2 linked regions of the Stegostoma tigrinum genome follow. The protein of the gene in region 1 interacts with the protein of each later gene in a pairwise test. Links are inferred from orthologs where the notes say so. Each region holds a gene or a part of one and is shown on either strand. Other genes may lie near its edges.

What was found. The genes of interacting proteins can lie anywhere in the genome.
Region 2: the proteins of chn1 (region 1) and hemk1 interact in binary tests that used the Homo sapiens proteins (3 or more experiments, as listed by UniProt). The two-hybrid records come from large-scale screens. The link is inferred for Stegostoma tigrinum from reciprocal best matches to the Homo sapiens genes CHN1 and HEMK1.

Annotation. Positions count from the first base shown.
Region 1 is NC_081360.1:47,220,136-47,227,692, forward strand, and holds the start of chn1 (N-chimaerin), read left to right. Parts: upstream 1-4,548; 5' UTR 4,549-4,625; exon of another isoform or gene 4,626-4,722; intron 4,723-4,904; 5' UTR 4,905-5,013; coding exon 5,014-5,032; intron 5,033-7,557. UniProt on the Homo sapiens protein: GTPase-activating protein for p21-rac and a phorbol ester receptor. Involved in the assembly of neuronal locomotor circuits as a direct effector of EPHA4 in axon guidance.
Region 2 is NC_081364.1:10,136,078-10,143,769, reverse strand, and holds the start of hemk1 (MTRF1L release factor glutamine methyltransferase), read left to right. Parts: upstream 1-4,682; 5' UTR 4,683-4,783; intron 4,784-7,692. UniProt on the Homo sapiens protein: N5-glutamine methyltransferase responsible for the methylation of the glutamine residue in the universally conserved GGQ motif of the mitochondrial translation release factors MTRF1, MTRF1L, MRPL58/ICT1 and MTRFR.

The DNA.
Region 1 (7,557 bases):
TCGGGTAGTGGGCATAGGGTGACGGTGGTCCCTGCACCCACTATCCCCACGCACGTGCCCCCCCCCCCCCCCCCCCCCAAACTGTAGCGCAAATTCTGTCCCCTCCACATTTCACTTCCGCTCTTATGCACAGTCGTCTAGACTCAAAATTGTTAACTTGCTCTGCCCCTCTCCATGAATGCTTAATGATCTGCCGTGATTGCCAGTATTTGTTGTTTTCAGTTGAGAGTCCAGCATCTGCAGTAACACGCTCCTATGTTTTGGATAGACTAACTTATTGATTAACAAAGGCATCAAGGGGCTTGCAGAATAACCAGGGAAGTGGTTGATGCCACTGTTATTTTAGCCATGATCTTGTAGCATGGTGGAGCAGGTTCAAAGAGCAAATGGCCTACTTCCCCTTGTGTACATAATATCCAATGTGTCACATTTGAATCTGTTTTGTATATTACATCGGTCAAGATTTCCCCACTTGCTTAACCTATCTACATTCCTCTGTACACCCTCTGTCATACCCCCCCCATGCATTTTTAATGTAATCCGAAAACCTGGCTTGAGAACTTCATTCCTTTATCTAAGTTATTCATATATATTGTAAATAACTGGGCCCCAGCACTGATCTCTGTGCTGCTAGTTAGGAGTTGCCATCCTGAAAATGATGCTGTTTTCCCAACCCTTCTATTAGATGGTCAATCCTATATTCATTTTAATATACTTCAACAACATGAGTTCCAATCAGAGCTTAGTAATAGATGATGATGAGTCTAGTCAAGCAGTCTGAAGAATAGTTTAGATCCAGAAACTGAGAATATGAAGGATACAGTTGATGCAGCTTTTTCTGTTTACATGCACATAAACTTGATAGATTTGAGCCTTCCATAACATTTGCAGTAGATTTGAAGAGATTATGCAGAAATGTGCATTCTTGCTGACAACTGAGCATGGAACTCAGATCAGGTTCTGCTGATTTGAGGATCAGGCTAAATCCTAGAAGTAGAGCAGTTGAAATTATTTTGAGGAGGACAGAACTTTGAGGGATTTTGTGATTTGAGGTTGATGACCTATAGGCTATAAGGTGTGATCTAATAGCTAATATTGTTTCTGGGTTTAAAAATATAAATAGTATTTGCCTTGACTCTTGTACAGTGAAAAATTATTTTGACTTGAGCTGTGGAATTTTCTGGCTTCATTTATTCAATAAAATGAGTAGGATTTTTGATCTTCTTTTAGAGAAAAGATCACGAAAACATTACATCTTAGGGATTCAGTAGTGAGGAAAATTACAATTTGCATTCAAAGAAGCAGTAAAATCCATAATTTTTTTTTACACAAAGGGTTTTGGGAGCAAAGTTACTGGTGTTTTTTTTTTTGCTTTCGTGGAACCAAAGAACAAGGCCTGCAGGTATACTTGTGGTTTGGGCAGATAGCATGGAGAAAATAGATGCCTTGCCATATCCCCTGCCAATATAATGAAACAAAAGATTAGTATGGAGGGACACAAATCACTATATAAACACAATTGTAAGTATGTATATAAAATTCATTATGGGTTAAGATAGAATTTTTATAACCAGTCTTACGAGTGCTGAATACAGCTATTTCACAAATGCAACCACTATTTTAGAAGTCTAAGGTAATGTATTTGGGGAAGGCTAATAAAGCGAGAACATGTACAATAAAAGACAGGATATTGATAATTATAGAGGAATAGTGGGAGCTTGGAAAGCATAACCAGACTCTTGAAAGTGGCTAATCAGGTACATAAGGCGGTCAAGAAGGCGCATGGAACACTTGCATTTAAAAGCCAAAACACAATAGACAAAAACCTGGTCTGGAGAATTTTGGTAGTGAGTAAAGATGATAAAGTCAAAGGATTACATAGAGGCTATATTGAGAGATGAGGTTTTGAGGTACAATTAAAAGGGTAAAATAAAGAATAAATGCTGAAAATAAGTAATATGTTGGGCAGCATTTAGAAGATAGAACATTACAGCACAGTGAGGGTCGAAGGGTCTGTAATGTTGTGCCCACCTGTCATACCAATTGAAGCCCATCTACCCTACGCTTTTACATGTACATCTATATGCTTATCCAATGACTACTTAAATGTACCTAAAGTTGGTGAATCTACTACCGTTGCAGGCAAAGCGTTCCATTCCCTGACTGAGTAAAGAAACTACCTCTGACATCTGTCCTATATCTTTCACCCCTCAATTTAAAGCTATGCTCGCCATCACTATTCTAGGAAAAAGGGTCTCCCTATCCACCCTATCTAACCCTCTGATTATTTTATACGTCTCAATTAATTCACCTCTCAACCTTCTTCTCTAACGAAAACAGCCTCAAGTCCCTCCCTCAGCCTTTCATTGTAAGGCCTTCCCTCCAGACCAGGCAACATCCTAGTAAATCTCCTCTGCACCCTTTCCAAAGCTTCCACATCCTTCTTATAATGCGGTGACCAGAACTGTACGCAATACTCCAAGTGCGGCCGCACCAGGGTTTTGCACAGCTGCAGCATAATGTCTTGGTTCCGGAACTCGATCCCTCTATTAACAAAAGCGAAAACACTGTATGCCACCTTAACAACCCTGTCAACCTGGGTGGCAACTTTCAAGGATCCATGTACATGGACGCCGAGATCTCTCTGCTCATCTATACTACCAAGAATCCTACCATTAGCCCAGTACTTTGCCTTCAGGTTACTCCTACCACAGTGCATCACCTCACACTTGTCTGCATTAAATACCATTTGCCACCTCTCAGCCCAGCTCTGCAGCTTATCTATGTCTCTCTGCAACCTACAGCATCCTTCGTCACTATCCACAACTCCACCGACCTTAGTGTCGTCCGCAAATTTACTAACCCATCCTTCTATGCCCTCATCCAGGTCATTTATAAAAATGACAAACAGCAGTGGACCCAACACCGACCCTTGTGATACACCACGAGTAGCTGGTCTACAGGATGAACGTTTCCCATCAACTACCACCCTCTGTCTTCTTTCAGCCAGCCAATTTCCAATCCAAACTGCTGTATCTCCCACAATCCCATTTGTGGAATCTCATTAGCTGTAATGCAACTAACGGCATTCGGTGACTGTGAAAAGCACCAGATAAATTCAATACTATTTTACTTCTTTCAAGACAACTTTAACCAGTATCCTCTACTTCATAATTCAAATTCTTTCTTCCATCAAGAAAAGGCATACAGAGTTTCACTCTTACGAAAATCCTTTAGACAAGGATTACCAATAAATGAAAATGATTTTTCAATGTTATTCATACAAATTAAAATTGCAGATGAGGTTTCTGGAAATTTCACATTATATGCTTTTCAATTTTTCCAGTCCTAATTTTATCACTTGTTTTGTTTTCAAAAGCAGTATCAGGGAAACTATAATTTCACCCTTTTGTGTGCCAATGGTACTTGGCATTACTGCCTCACTCTTGTGTTTGATTTTACAACTATTCCATCACTGTCTGATCTACAGTTTGACATCTAATTGCAGAAAATGAAGTGTTTTTGAAGTCAGTTGAAGACCAAAGTCATTCTACTAGCCATCCAGCAAAATTTCTCCAGTTTACTGCTTGATTACAACTCCTTTCTCAATCCCAACCTCGCACTGCCCATTTTGCTAGTTGCTGAATTTTACTTCAAGTTTCATCGAGACCAATTGCTACTATCTGGAAAATATCAATTCTGTTCCCCTCAACAATGAAATGGTTGTTTATGTCTAAACTGAATTCAGAATTTACACTTCTAAACCTTTTCTTACCATCGCGTTGCTCCACCGAACCCAAACTTCAAATGGCCCAGAACGTTATTGACATTCAGTTCTCTACGCTTCGAGTGAATCATAACCTTGATCGCAATATACCCCCCATTCCTCTGTGCCCAGCGCAAAATCTTCCAATTTGTGTATAAATTCATATCTGGTCTCATTTCTCCTCACCTCTGCACCCTCCTTTAAGCTCTAAATTCAGTTCTCAATATGCAGGTTATTCCTTATTGCATTTTACCATCACCAGCGGCATTACCTCCACCCAGTGAACGTACTTGCACAAGTTGGAATGGATTCAGTTGCATTCGATTTCGAATAAAAGCCTTTCCTCGTAAAAGATCATTGGTGGTATATTCTGAGGGTGGAGATTTAGCAAAGTGGGGACCAGAAAACCTGTCACCCTATTAGTGTCTGAATTCTCATCAAGGCTGTGATTGGATACAATGTTTTTAAAAGGTTCTTTTCTATACAAAGATGAGTAGCAGTAACAACTCGTTTGACTCTTGAGAAATTAGGATGTTGCTTTCATCCAGGGGCGGCGGCTTGAAGAGCGGGACAGGCGCGTTTATCATCTTTCCACGCGTGTTCCACACTAATAAAGAGACACGCATCTGCAATCCTGAAAATGAGTGCCTTTGCGGCACAGCATGTTGATTAGTCTCAATTGTTATGTTGGTGGCCTGTCTGTGAGAGCGTTGCCGATGTTGACACAGTAGTGATGGCTGCCATGCGGGATGGCTGGATGTTGGTGCGTGCTGAGCTCGGTGAGCTCCCGAGGAGACCGGTCACCATGGTTACCGCATTGACGGGCTGCACCAGTCGGGAGCGATGGTCATGTGCTGAGGTAAAATGGCGTCTCGGAGGATGTAGGGTGGTCTGGAATATTTGTAATTTCACAGTATTCATTCTGTCTGTGGTTCACGGTTCGTGGCTGATTTATGGTATTTGTTTTCTTTATTAGTTTTAATTTTAGAAAACGGGCTGGGATAAAAACCTGTAGCATTTCTTGTTTTATTCGTATGGACTGTCCTTTATTTGGAATAAAAGGTATTTTTACTTAACAAGTTAGGAGGTGGTGTCTTAAATGTGTAATTAATGGTTCATTTATTTTTCCTATGTATAGCAGAAGGGTTGAAAGTGTCCTAAATCGTCTATGAGCTTGGTGGCTGACTGGGTGTGAAATAGTGGCTGGGCATTATAGCAGTCCGCAAAGGACCGGATTTCCAGAAATAATGGCTTTACCTGTGTTTGGTAAGTTGCACCGACGTAATTTAATACAAAGCAATTTGATGCTCTCAGTACCTTGTTGAAGAGGAATCTGTTAGAGCTGCACTGCGGAGTGATTGTTTTATTTTATGATTGGGAATTGCGAGAGTTCGGTGTGGACAGAAGTCTGGTTATTGTGTTTGTTGCTCTTGGTGAAGGGCGGATGCTTCAAAATACGATATGCCACCAAATTTTATTAAGAGTTAAACCAAAGTTTGTTTTGCTTTGCTTATGTAAATATTATATTCAGAGAACAGTTTTGCTTCATAAACAGTCCTTTTAGTGGAAATCAACATTAATCCTGAACTGGATTATTTTGCAGGAGTAAAATCATCTATTTTAATCTGTACAAAATAAGATAATGGTACAAAGTATATAGGCATTGTTGGTTACAATAAAACTGAACTGTTATAAATATTGATAATGTGGTTAAAATGTACTTATTATTTGTAAAACAGTGGTAGAGTTTGATTTGCGAGAGGAAGAGGATACGGATTATTTGTATTAATTCATTGAGCAGATGTTGATTCTACAGATTTGGCAAATAACTAAAAATACATCAGGTTGAGTTATCCTGTGACCTGTGTTAGAACATAGAATATAGAACAATGCAGTGCAGAACAGGCCCTTCGGCCCTCAATGTTGCGCCAACCTGTAAACTAATCTAAGCCCACTCCCCCTACGTGATCCCATCATCATCCATATGCTTATCCAATGACTGTTTAAATGCCCCTAATGTGGCTGAATTAACTACATTGGCAGGCAGGGCATTCCATGCCCTTACCACTCTGAGTAAAGAACCTGCCCCTGACATCTGTCTTAAATCTATCACCCCTCAATTTGCAGCTATGCCCCCTCCTACAAGCCGACGTCATCATCCTCGGAAAAAGACTCTCACTGTCCACTCTATCTAATCCTCTGATCATCTTGTATGTCTCTATTAAATCTCCTCTAAACCTACTTCTGTCCAATGAGAACAGACCCAAGTCCCTCACCGTTTCCTCATAAGAGCTTCGCTCCAGACCAGGCAACATCCTGGTAAATCTCCTCTGCAACTTTTCCAATGCTTCCACATCCTTCCTGTAATGGGGCGACCAGAACTGCGCGCAATATTCCAAGTGAGGCCGCACTAACATTTTGTACAGTTGCAGCATGACATCACGGCTCCAGAACTCAATCCCTCTACCAATAAAACCCAGCTCCGTTTGCCTTCTTAACAGCACTATCAACCTGGGCGGCAACTTTCAGGGCTCTATGTACATGGACACCAAGATCCCTCTGCACATCCACACTACCAAGAATCTTTCCAATGACCCAGTATTCTGCCTTACTATTATTCTTCCCAAAGTGAATCACCTCATATTTATCCCCATTGAACTCCATTTGCAACCTTTCAGCCCAATTCTGCAGTTTATCCAAGTCTCCCTGCAACCTGCAACATTCTTCCACACTGTCCACCACTCCACCGACTTTAGTGTCATCTGCAAACTTACTATTCCATCCACCTATGCCCGCGTCCAAGTCATTTATAAGAATGACAAAACAGCAGTGGCCCCAAAACTGATCCTTGAGGCACACCACTTGTAACCAGACCCCAGGCTGTATATTTTCCATCAACCACCACTCGATGCCTTCTAACAGAAAACCAGTTTCTAATCCAAACTGCTAAATCTCCCTCAATCCCATGCCTCTGCGTTCTCTCCAATAGCCTACCATGTGGAACCTTGCCAAAGGCTTTACTGAAACCCATGTACACCACATCAACTGCCCTACCCTCATCCACATGCTTGGTCACCTTCTCAAAACTCAGTGAGGTTTGTGAGACATGACCTGCCTTTGACGAATCCATGTTGACTATTCCAATCAAATTGTTGCTAGCTAGATGATTATAAATCCTATCCCTCATAATCCTTTCCAAAACTTTTCCTACAACAGACGTAAGGCTCACTGGTCTATAATTACCTGGTCATCTCTACTGCCCTTCTTGAACAAGGGCACAAGATTTGCAATCCTCCAGTCCTCTGGTGCTAAACCTGTAGACAATGTGGACTCAAAGATCAAGGCCAAAGGCTCCGCCGCCACCTCCCTAGCTTCCCAGACAATCCTCAGAAAAATCCCATCCAGCCCGGTGGATTTATCTACCTTCACACCTAGAATTGATAACACCTCCTCCTTACTAACCTCAATCCTTTCAATTCTAATAACCCATAACTCAGTCTTCTCCTCTACAATATTCTCCTTTTCTTGAGTGAAAACAGATGAGTTAGTTTATACTTGTAAGATTGGCATGAACATAAATGTGAAGATAGTGACTCTTAGATTTTAAATCAGTTACTTGGTGAACACTGATTTTTTTTCGTCTCTTTTTATTCTTTTATGGAATTTAGACTTTAGTGGTAAGGCCAGCATTTATTGGCTATTTCTAATTACTCTTGAACTATGTGGCTTGCTAGGCTACTTGCTGGGTAATTAAGAGTCAACAGTATTGTGTGTAGGGAATCCCATTTCGG
Region 2 (7,692 bases), on another chromosome or scaffold:
GCCAAATTCTGCTGTAATTTCTATCTGGCAGCTCTGACTGGGGAAGGGCAGCAATTTTAACTGTGTTACTATTTTCACAGATGACCCTCCCCTCCCCTATTGTCTTCCGCACCCATTTTCCATCCTCAAGCAATGCAAACAAAAATTAGAATTTTTGTTTAAAACAATGGAGATTCCACTTTTTTTCAATGTTTACTCACAAATGTGGGAACCACTTGCTATCTAGGTTTATCACACATCTCTAATTGTCCAGACTGCAGTTAAGAGTCAATCACATCACTGTGGAGTAAGAGTCACATGTTGGCCATGACAAGTTAGGGAAGCAGGTTCCTTCCCTGAAGGGCAGCCATAATACAGGCAGGTTTCCCACAACTATCACCAATGGTTTCATGTTTATCATTAGATTATTAATTCCAGTTTTTTTTTCAATTGAATTCAAATTCCACCATCTATCATTGCAGGACTTGAACTCATGTCCTCAGAACATTACCTGTGCTTCTGTGAAAATAGCCTGGGGATAACACCACCAGGGCTTTGCCTCCCCATCATCTTTTGTGGCCTGCCCACTCTATGACATAGGAACATAGGAGCAAGAGTAGGCTATTCAGGCCATCAAGCGAACTCCACCATTCAACTAGATCATGGCTGATCTCCTGCCTCAATGACATTTTTACACACTACCCTCATAAGTCAGCACAGTGGTCAGCTCTGCTGCTTCACAGAGAGAGGAGCCTGGGTTCATTTCCACTCTTGGGCAGCTGTCTGTGTGGAGTTTGCACACTTTCCCTGTGTCTACGTGGGTTTCCTCCGGATGCTCTGGTTTCCTCCCACAGTCCAAAGATGTGCAAATTAGATGGATTGGCTACGCAAAATTGCCCATAGAGTCCAGGGTTGTGCAGGCTAGGTGGATTAATTATGGGAAATGCAGGGTTACGGCGACAGGGTGAGGTGGTCTTCGGAGGGTTGGTGTCGACATGATGGCCCAAATGGCCCGCATCCACATTGTAGGGATTCTATGATTCTATCCCTTTCTGTCTCTAATATGGCAACAGACTGGTGTACTGTCCACAGATGCCAAGCACCAACCAGTACACATTGCTCACATGGGCACTCCACAAGCCAGACTAGCGAAAAAAAAGGAAATTCATCGACAGAACGCATTACAGTCAAATGGATCTTGACAATACACACGTGACATATAATGGGGGTTGTAGGGTAGAGGTGTTGATTGCTGATCACCTGCACAATTAGGCTGTGCACATCCATGTTTTCCAGGGAGAGAGGGCCAATGCCCAGGCAAACAGCATCCCCATAAGCAGCCCTGGTTCACAAAACCCGTCCGTAAATTACACTCGCTTTTAATGTCCTATATTGGAGTACACCTCATGCAACAGTGAGATACAGGAGAAAGATGGTGGACACTACCTAGCCACCTTCACTGAGTTTTGTGATCACAGCTAACCCAAATTAAACTAATTCTTTTAGTTTAATGAATTTGTTAAGAAGCAGGAGTTTAGATATGTTACATGCGTTAATTAGACAAAGAAAGGAAATGACCGTGACAGAAATAATGGGAACTGCAGGTGCTGGAGAATCCAAGATAACAAAGTGTGAGGCTGGATGAACACAGCAGGCCAAGCAGCATCTCAGGAGCACAAAGGCTGACGTTTCAGGCCTAGACCCTTCATCAGAGAGCTCTGACGAAGGGTCTAGGCCTGAAACGTCAGCATTTTAGCTCCTGAGATGCTGCTTGGCCTGCTGTGTTCATCCAGCTTCACACTTTGTTATCTTAAATGACCGTGGCTGATGAGATTGCTCATCAATGCAAGATGATACCAACACCGGATGAAATCTTGCGAGCTCCCGACAGCAGATCTAACTGTAACATTTGTTATAACCATTTTACACTTTTAAATGTGACAATAAAGCAATCATTCAATGAATCAATCCCAAAGCTGTATTGTAGAATGAAACAGCAAGAAAGGATGAAGTCATGCACTTTAGTAGGAAGAATAGAGTTGTGGACTATTTTCTAAACGGGGAAAAAATTTAGAAATCTAAAGTGCAAAGGGACAGCATTTTCTATTTCTAATGATCCGGACGCAAAGCATTAACTCTGATTTTTCTTCACAGATGCTGCCAGGCCTGCTGAGCTTTTCCAGGAACTTCTATTTTTGTTCCCAATGGCACTGTGTTTGTTCTCATTCCATTAATCATTCTGTTTTCCTAAGTTGAGCCAAAATAGACTAAGCTGTGAGGCCAGTGTCTGGTGACCATTCCTCAAAAGGGTCTGAAGAAGGATCACCAGACCCGAAAAGTTAACTCTGTTTTCTCCCTCACAGATGCTGCCAGACCTGCTGAGCTTTTCCAGCAACTTTGCTTTTGTTCCTGTTTTACAGCATCCACAGTTCTTTTGTTATTTTTATAGTCCAACAGGTTTATTCGAAAATGCAAGCTTCCATTTTCAAATAAATGTGTTGGACTATAACCTGGTGTCATATGAGTTTTGACCTTGTCCACCTCAGTCCAACACTGGCATTTCAACATCATATTTGATAGTTACATGGTGCAAGTTAGAGCCATGATGAATATGTTGACTAATCTTTCTGAAATTTAAACATTTTACTAAAAGATTGGTTTCTAGGGACAGGAGCATTGTTCCATAAATTGCACCAGATTGTGATGAGCTGTATTCCAGCTTTGGGTTCTTTAAAAGCCTCAAAGTTTCACTGTTGTAAATAGCCACTGCCTGAGATCAGCTGCAAGCTAATAGTGTTTCAGCTGATCCAGTGAAAAATCAAATTGTATTTTTTTTTATTATGAATCAAGTTTCTTTGCAGACTTTGTGAAAATTGCCAACTTCACATTGCAGGAAAATTTCAGAAGGAATTTTCTCTTAAAAGGTGTATGAACAAAGGCATTGGTTTGTGGTGTTGTTGACAAACACATTTGAAAGCATCATTACACGCATTAAAAATTGATATGGGCACCTGTAGAAAACTCTCCAAATGGTATCTGGTGACATATAAACATTTATCACTTTTTGGGACTGTACTTTCAAAACTAAAATATAGAACATTTTACAAATGAGGGGGTCTTCAAAGAAAGAGATGAGGAGAAATGTTCACTACCAGTTGGCCTACTGGGCTCGTGGACTTATCTAAGTTGGCTCAACTTAGCAGAACATAACGGTTAACAGAATGACAGCTGTCAGTGTGTGAAGTTTCGTTCCCAGTAGAGACAGGGTCATTGAAATTTTTTAAGGCTGAGTTAGATAGATTCTGGTTAACAAGTGAGTCAAAGGGTAAACGGGGTTGACAGTAGAGTTGAGGACATAATGAGAACAGTTACGATTATATCAAATGGCAGAGCAGTCCACAAGTGTCTGCTCCTAATTTGATCATATGTGGTGTGAAGGTATTGGTAATGTCACTCGACAAATAATCCAGAGGCCCAAGCTAACACTCTGAGAACACAGGTTCAACCCTGCCTTGGAATTGGAATTCAATTAATAAATCCTGAAAACAAAGCTAGCCATCTGTAACAGTGACCAGGAAACCATTATCGATTGTCTTAAAAACCCAGGGCTCAATAATGCCCTTTACGAAGGAAAATAGCTGCCTTATGCAGACTGGCCAATGTGGTTGCTCTTATCTGCCCTTTCCACTGAGGTGAAGATTCAATTTGAGATGAGCAAGAAATGACGCACACATTCCACAAAAGAATAAAGAAAAAAACTGCTTGTAAACATGTCATGTTATACTTAACCCTTCCTGTGAGCTCTTGACCATCTCTTCGCACTGAGACTGTTTAATTCCACCTCTGTAACACCAACTGAGCCACAGATCTGATGCTGAAATCCTCATTCTTCCTGTTAACTCTAGGAATGACCAATCAAAACGCGCTTCTACCCAGTCCTCCACATTCTGCTAACTTTAACTCATTGGAAACTCTCTCCACCTATCTTCTTTACTCTCCATCTTCGGTCCGCCTCCCCCTCTCTCCCTATTTATTCCAGTTCCCTCACCCCATCCCCCTCTCTGATGAAGGGTCTAGGGCCGAAACGTCAGCTTTTGTGCTCCTGAGATGCTGCTTGGCCTGCTGTGTTCATTCAGCCTCACATTTTATTATCTTCTCATTGGAAACTCGGTCACCCTAACTAGCACCAGGCCCTGCCTCCCTAACACCCAGAGACTGCCAAACGACATCAGCTCCTTGGCAAAAACATCGACTGGACGCACAACTGTCCGCAAAGGCACAGGTGCATCCGGGGCCGAGGCGGCAGGGGCGGGGCTGGGCCGTGGAGGAGGGGGCGCATCGAGGTGGTGGAGGCGGAGCCGTGGTGGAAGGGGCGGGGCCGGTCAGGGGAGGCGGGGCCTGATCGAGGCTGGGGTACGGGACAAGACAAGGTGGCGGGAGCGAGCAAGGCGAAGGGCCCCGAGGAAAATGGAGACGGGACATTAGTTCGGGGGGGGGCACATGGACGGGGTGTGGTGTAGAATGAAGGGTCCGGGATTGAAATAAGGAAGCGGAGCAAAGGTGGTGAGGATTCGACGGGGCGAACGCCTGAGAGGTGGGCGTGGTGGCATGCAGAAGTGGGCGGGGTGGAGTTGTGCGAGGGACGTAGTAGAGAGTGGGCCGCTGTGGGGAGTGGGGCGGGGTCATTTGGGGTTATGGGCGTGGCCATAGTGAGGGCGGGGCAGCGGTGGTGGCGGGAGGTCCCAACCGCCGTTTGCCGGCCTGGCCGCCGCCGCCACGTTGTTACTTGGTGTTCGTGATGAAGGTAAAGGTGGGATTCTAGAATTGTCTTTTTCCCTTAATAACTTTCACTTTCTACCTCTTTATTTTCCGTATGCTTTGCTTGCCGTCTCCTTCTCCTCGTCAACTGTCACTTCCGCTTTTCATTAAGCTGAAATAACTCCACAGAGGCCAGTACTCCATCGCCAAGTCACCCGTTACACTTACACGTGGACATTTCTTGGCACTGATCCAGTACCTGCAAAGAGAGTAGAAAGTCTCACATTTCTGTTTAGCCAAGGCTCCCTGATCGGACTAGGTTAACACCCCAACCAGGAAACTCATATTTTCTGAGGTGCTAAAGCAGAAGTTGTTGGTAAAGCTCAGCAGCAACTGTGACGACAAAAACAGAGTTAATGTTTTGGGTCTCGTGACCCTTCCTCAGAACTTCAGATTTTGCCTTCGCCTTCACAGATGTTGCCATGCTTGTTGAGCTTTTCCAGCAACTTCTGTTTTTATTCCTGATTTGCAGCATCCACAGTTAATTTGATTTTTCTCTGAGGTTCTGTTGGTTGTCAGTTTGGTAATCATCACATTCCTCCCCCTCTGAATCTGAAGACAACAGTTAGCTGAATTCCATCAGGGTCATCCAGAAGTTTCCAAAATAAAGACGTTGGCAAGAACTCTAGTGGCCAGGATTAGATGCAGACGTACATGCGTTTGCGGTGCCAGGAGTGGTTAGGACAAAAATTACCAACAGATGGCCAGGTAAAGCCTCGACTTTGTAATATGTCAACTATGCAGGTTCTTCCATGGGCTCAATGTTCATAGCCATTGTGGATGCCCACACAAAGCCACTGGAGACACACAGGAGTTAATTTGTCAAACCTGATGATGATTGAAAAACTGTGCACATTGTTTGCAATACATGGACTCCCAGAAGTATTGATCACGGATACCGGGCCATCGTTTACCAGCAGGAAATTTGTGTATTTCCTCAAGTCGAATAGCATTTTACAGCTCCATATCATCCATCATCCAATGGTCTGGCAGAAACAGCAGTCCAAATTGTGAAGACAGACTTAAAGCACAGCCTACAGCTTCACTAGATGCCACACTGACCTGGTTCTTATTTGATTATAGGATCACACCTCATGCAACTACAGGGAAAGTTCCGGCAAAGTTTCTAATAGGGAGAAGACTCCACACTAGGTTAAATCCGATCTTCCCAGACCTGGGGGGACGGTGAGAGTGAAACAGCAACAGGAACATAGGTCATAAGACACAGCTACAGGAGTAAGTCATTCAACCCTTGAGATTGAATTGAATTTGCTTTGCCATTCAGTAATATCTTGCTTGCTGTGTAATCCCTGTAATCCTTCACTCTCTTCTATATAATAAATTCAAAAAGATTCAAAGACTAGCTTTGCTGGGGAAGAAAATTCCAGTGAATAAATTCCTTCTCATCTCTGTTTTAAATGGGAAGCCCTTATTTTTAAACTATGCCCTGCAGTTCTGATCACAAGGCTCTGCTAAGCCAGTGAGACAGTTTACTTCAGGAGTCAAATTTTGGTTAGGAATCACAGGAACAGCCATGCATGGGTAAGAGGCATTGTCAGTGTGAGGTCAGAACCAGTGGCATGTAAAGATCAGGTAGGTGCAACAGCCCTGATCAGGCAAGTAAAACATAGGAATGTTGCAAACTCAGTGCAGGAGCAAAATGTGCCAGGCTCCTTGATTGCCTTTCCATGGGATCTCTAGCTTTATGGAGATTTGAAGATATCTTGGAATCTGAGATGGATATGGTGGATGCCCCTGCCTTGAAGACTTGATGCCTGAAGAAGAGAATGAATTTCTTTTGAGATGCTCTGGGTGCAAGAGGTGAGCTACTGTGCCTTATGTGCTGCTCATATCAAAGGAAGAATTAGCGGAGTCGTACCTGGTGCTAAAATGTGCCAGGAGGAACTACAAAAAGAAGAACTGATAAAGTCCTTGGATTCAGAAGGGGAAAGGTGTAGTGATTGTAAGAAGGTGAGCCAGTTAGACCTCATAGAATATAAGTTCCCTGATTGGGGCTGTTAAATCTGGCCCAATCAGATGGCCAGCTGACAGATATAAATAGGAAAATCAAAGGTTCTGTTCACTCTGAGAGCTGGCTCCAAGATGGTGTCAAGGCCTCTCTACATGCAAATTAAAGGATGACGTAGTGACAGGATACTGGCCTCCATGGTGTTATTTCAATCAGAACGTTCACAAATTAGATTGGATCCAATTGCCCCTCTACATCTAACTTGTTAGGTGTTAATTTTCCATAGCAGCAAGCAAGTACAAAATGAACTGATATTTTTTGGAGTCTCGGATATATTTGAGTTTAGCCTGATATAGGATTCAGAAATCTTTTGATTTTTTTTGTCACAAGAGAACATTCTGCAGCATGCTTGACTCCATTCTCAACGGAGGTGATATTTCAACCCTGTCTCTTGGTCTATTTGCCTATTAAAAAAAAAATCAGTGCAGGGAGAATTGATTTTAATTTGAAGAATACTGTAAGTTGTCTTATTTGGAAAGTTGTGGATTGTCTCAGCTGCTGTAGTAAATATTGTATCAAGTGTCAAAACGTGAGCAGAGCCTTTAGAGCAGGTTTTCATATAACTCCAATTTACCAATCACAAAGTGGCACTCGCCGAGGCCAGGAGTAGTCACTGTCAAAGTGAGATATTGTGTGGAATTAGGAGTCTTTGAGAGAAGAATGGTGGTGTTAATTTAACAAAAAAAAAGTTGGATATGTTGAGTTATGGTAAAGCAAGAAATATCGTAATTTGAAGTACCTTAAAATCACTATGACAAGTGCTAAATTATATAAGTGGCTGTCTCACTTTTTTAACATGCATTAGTTACATCAATTAACTTCTAGTGTACTGCACAGAACAGGGAAGCAGCTGCTTTTTAAGACCA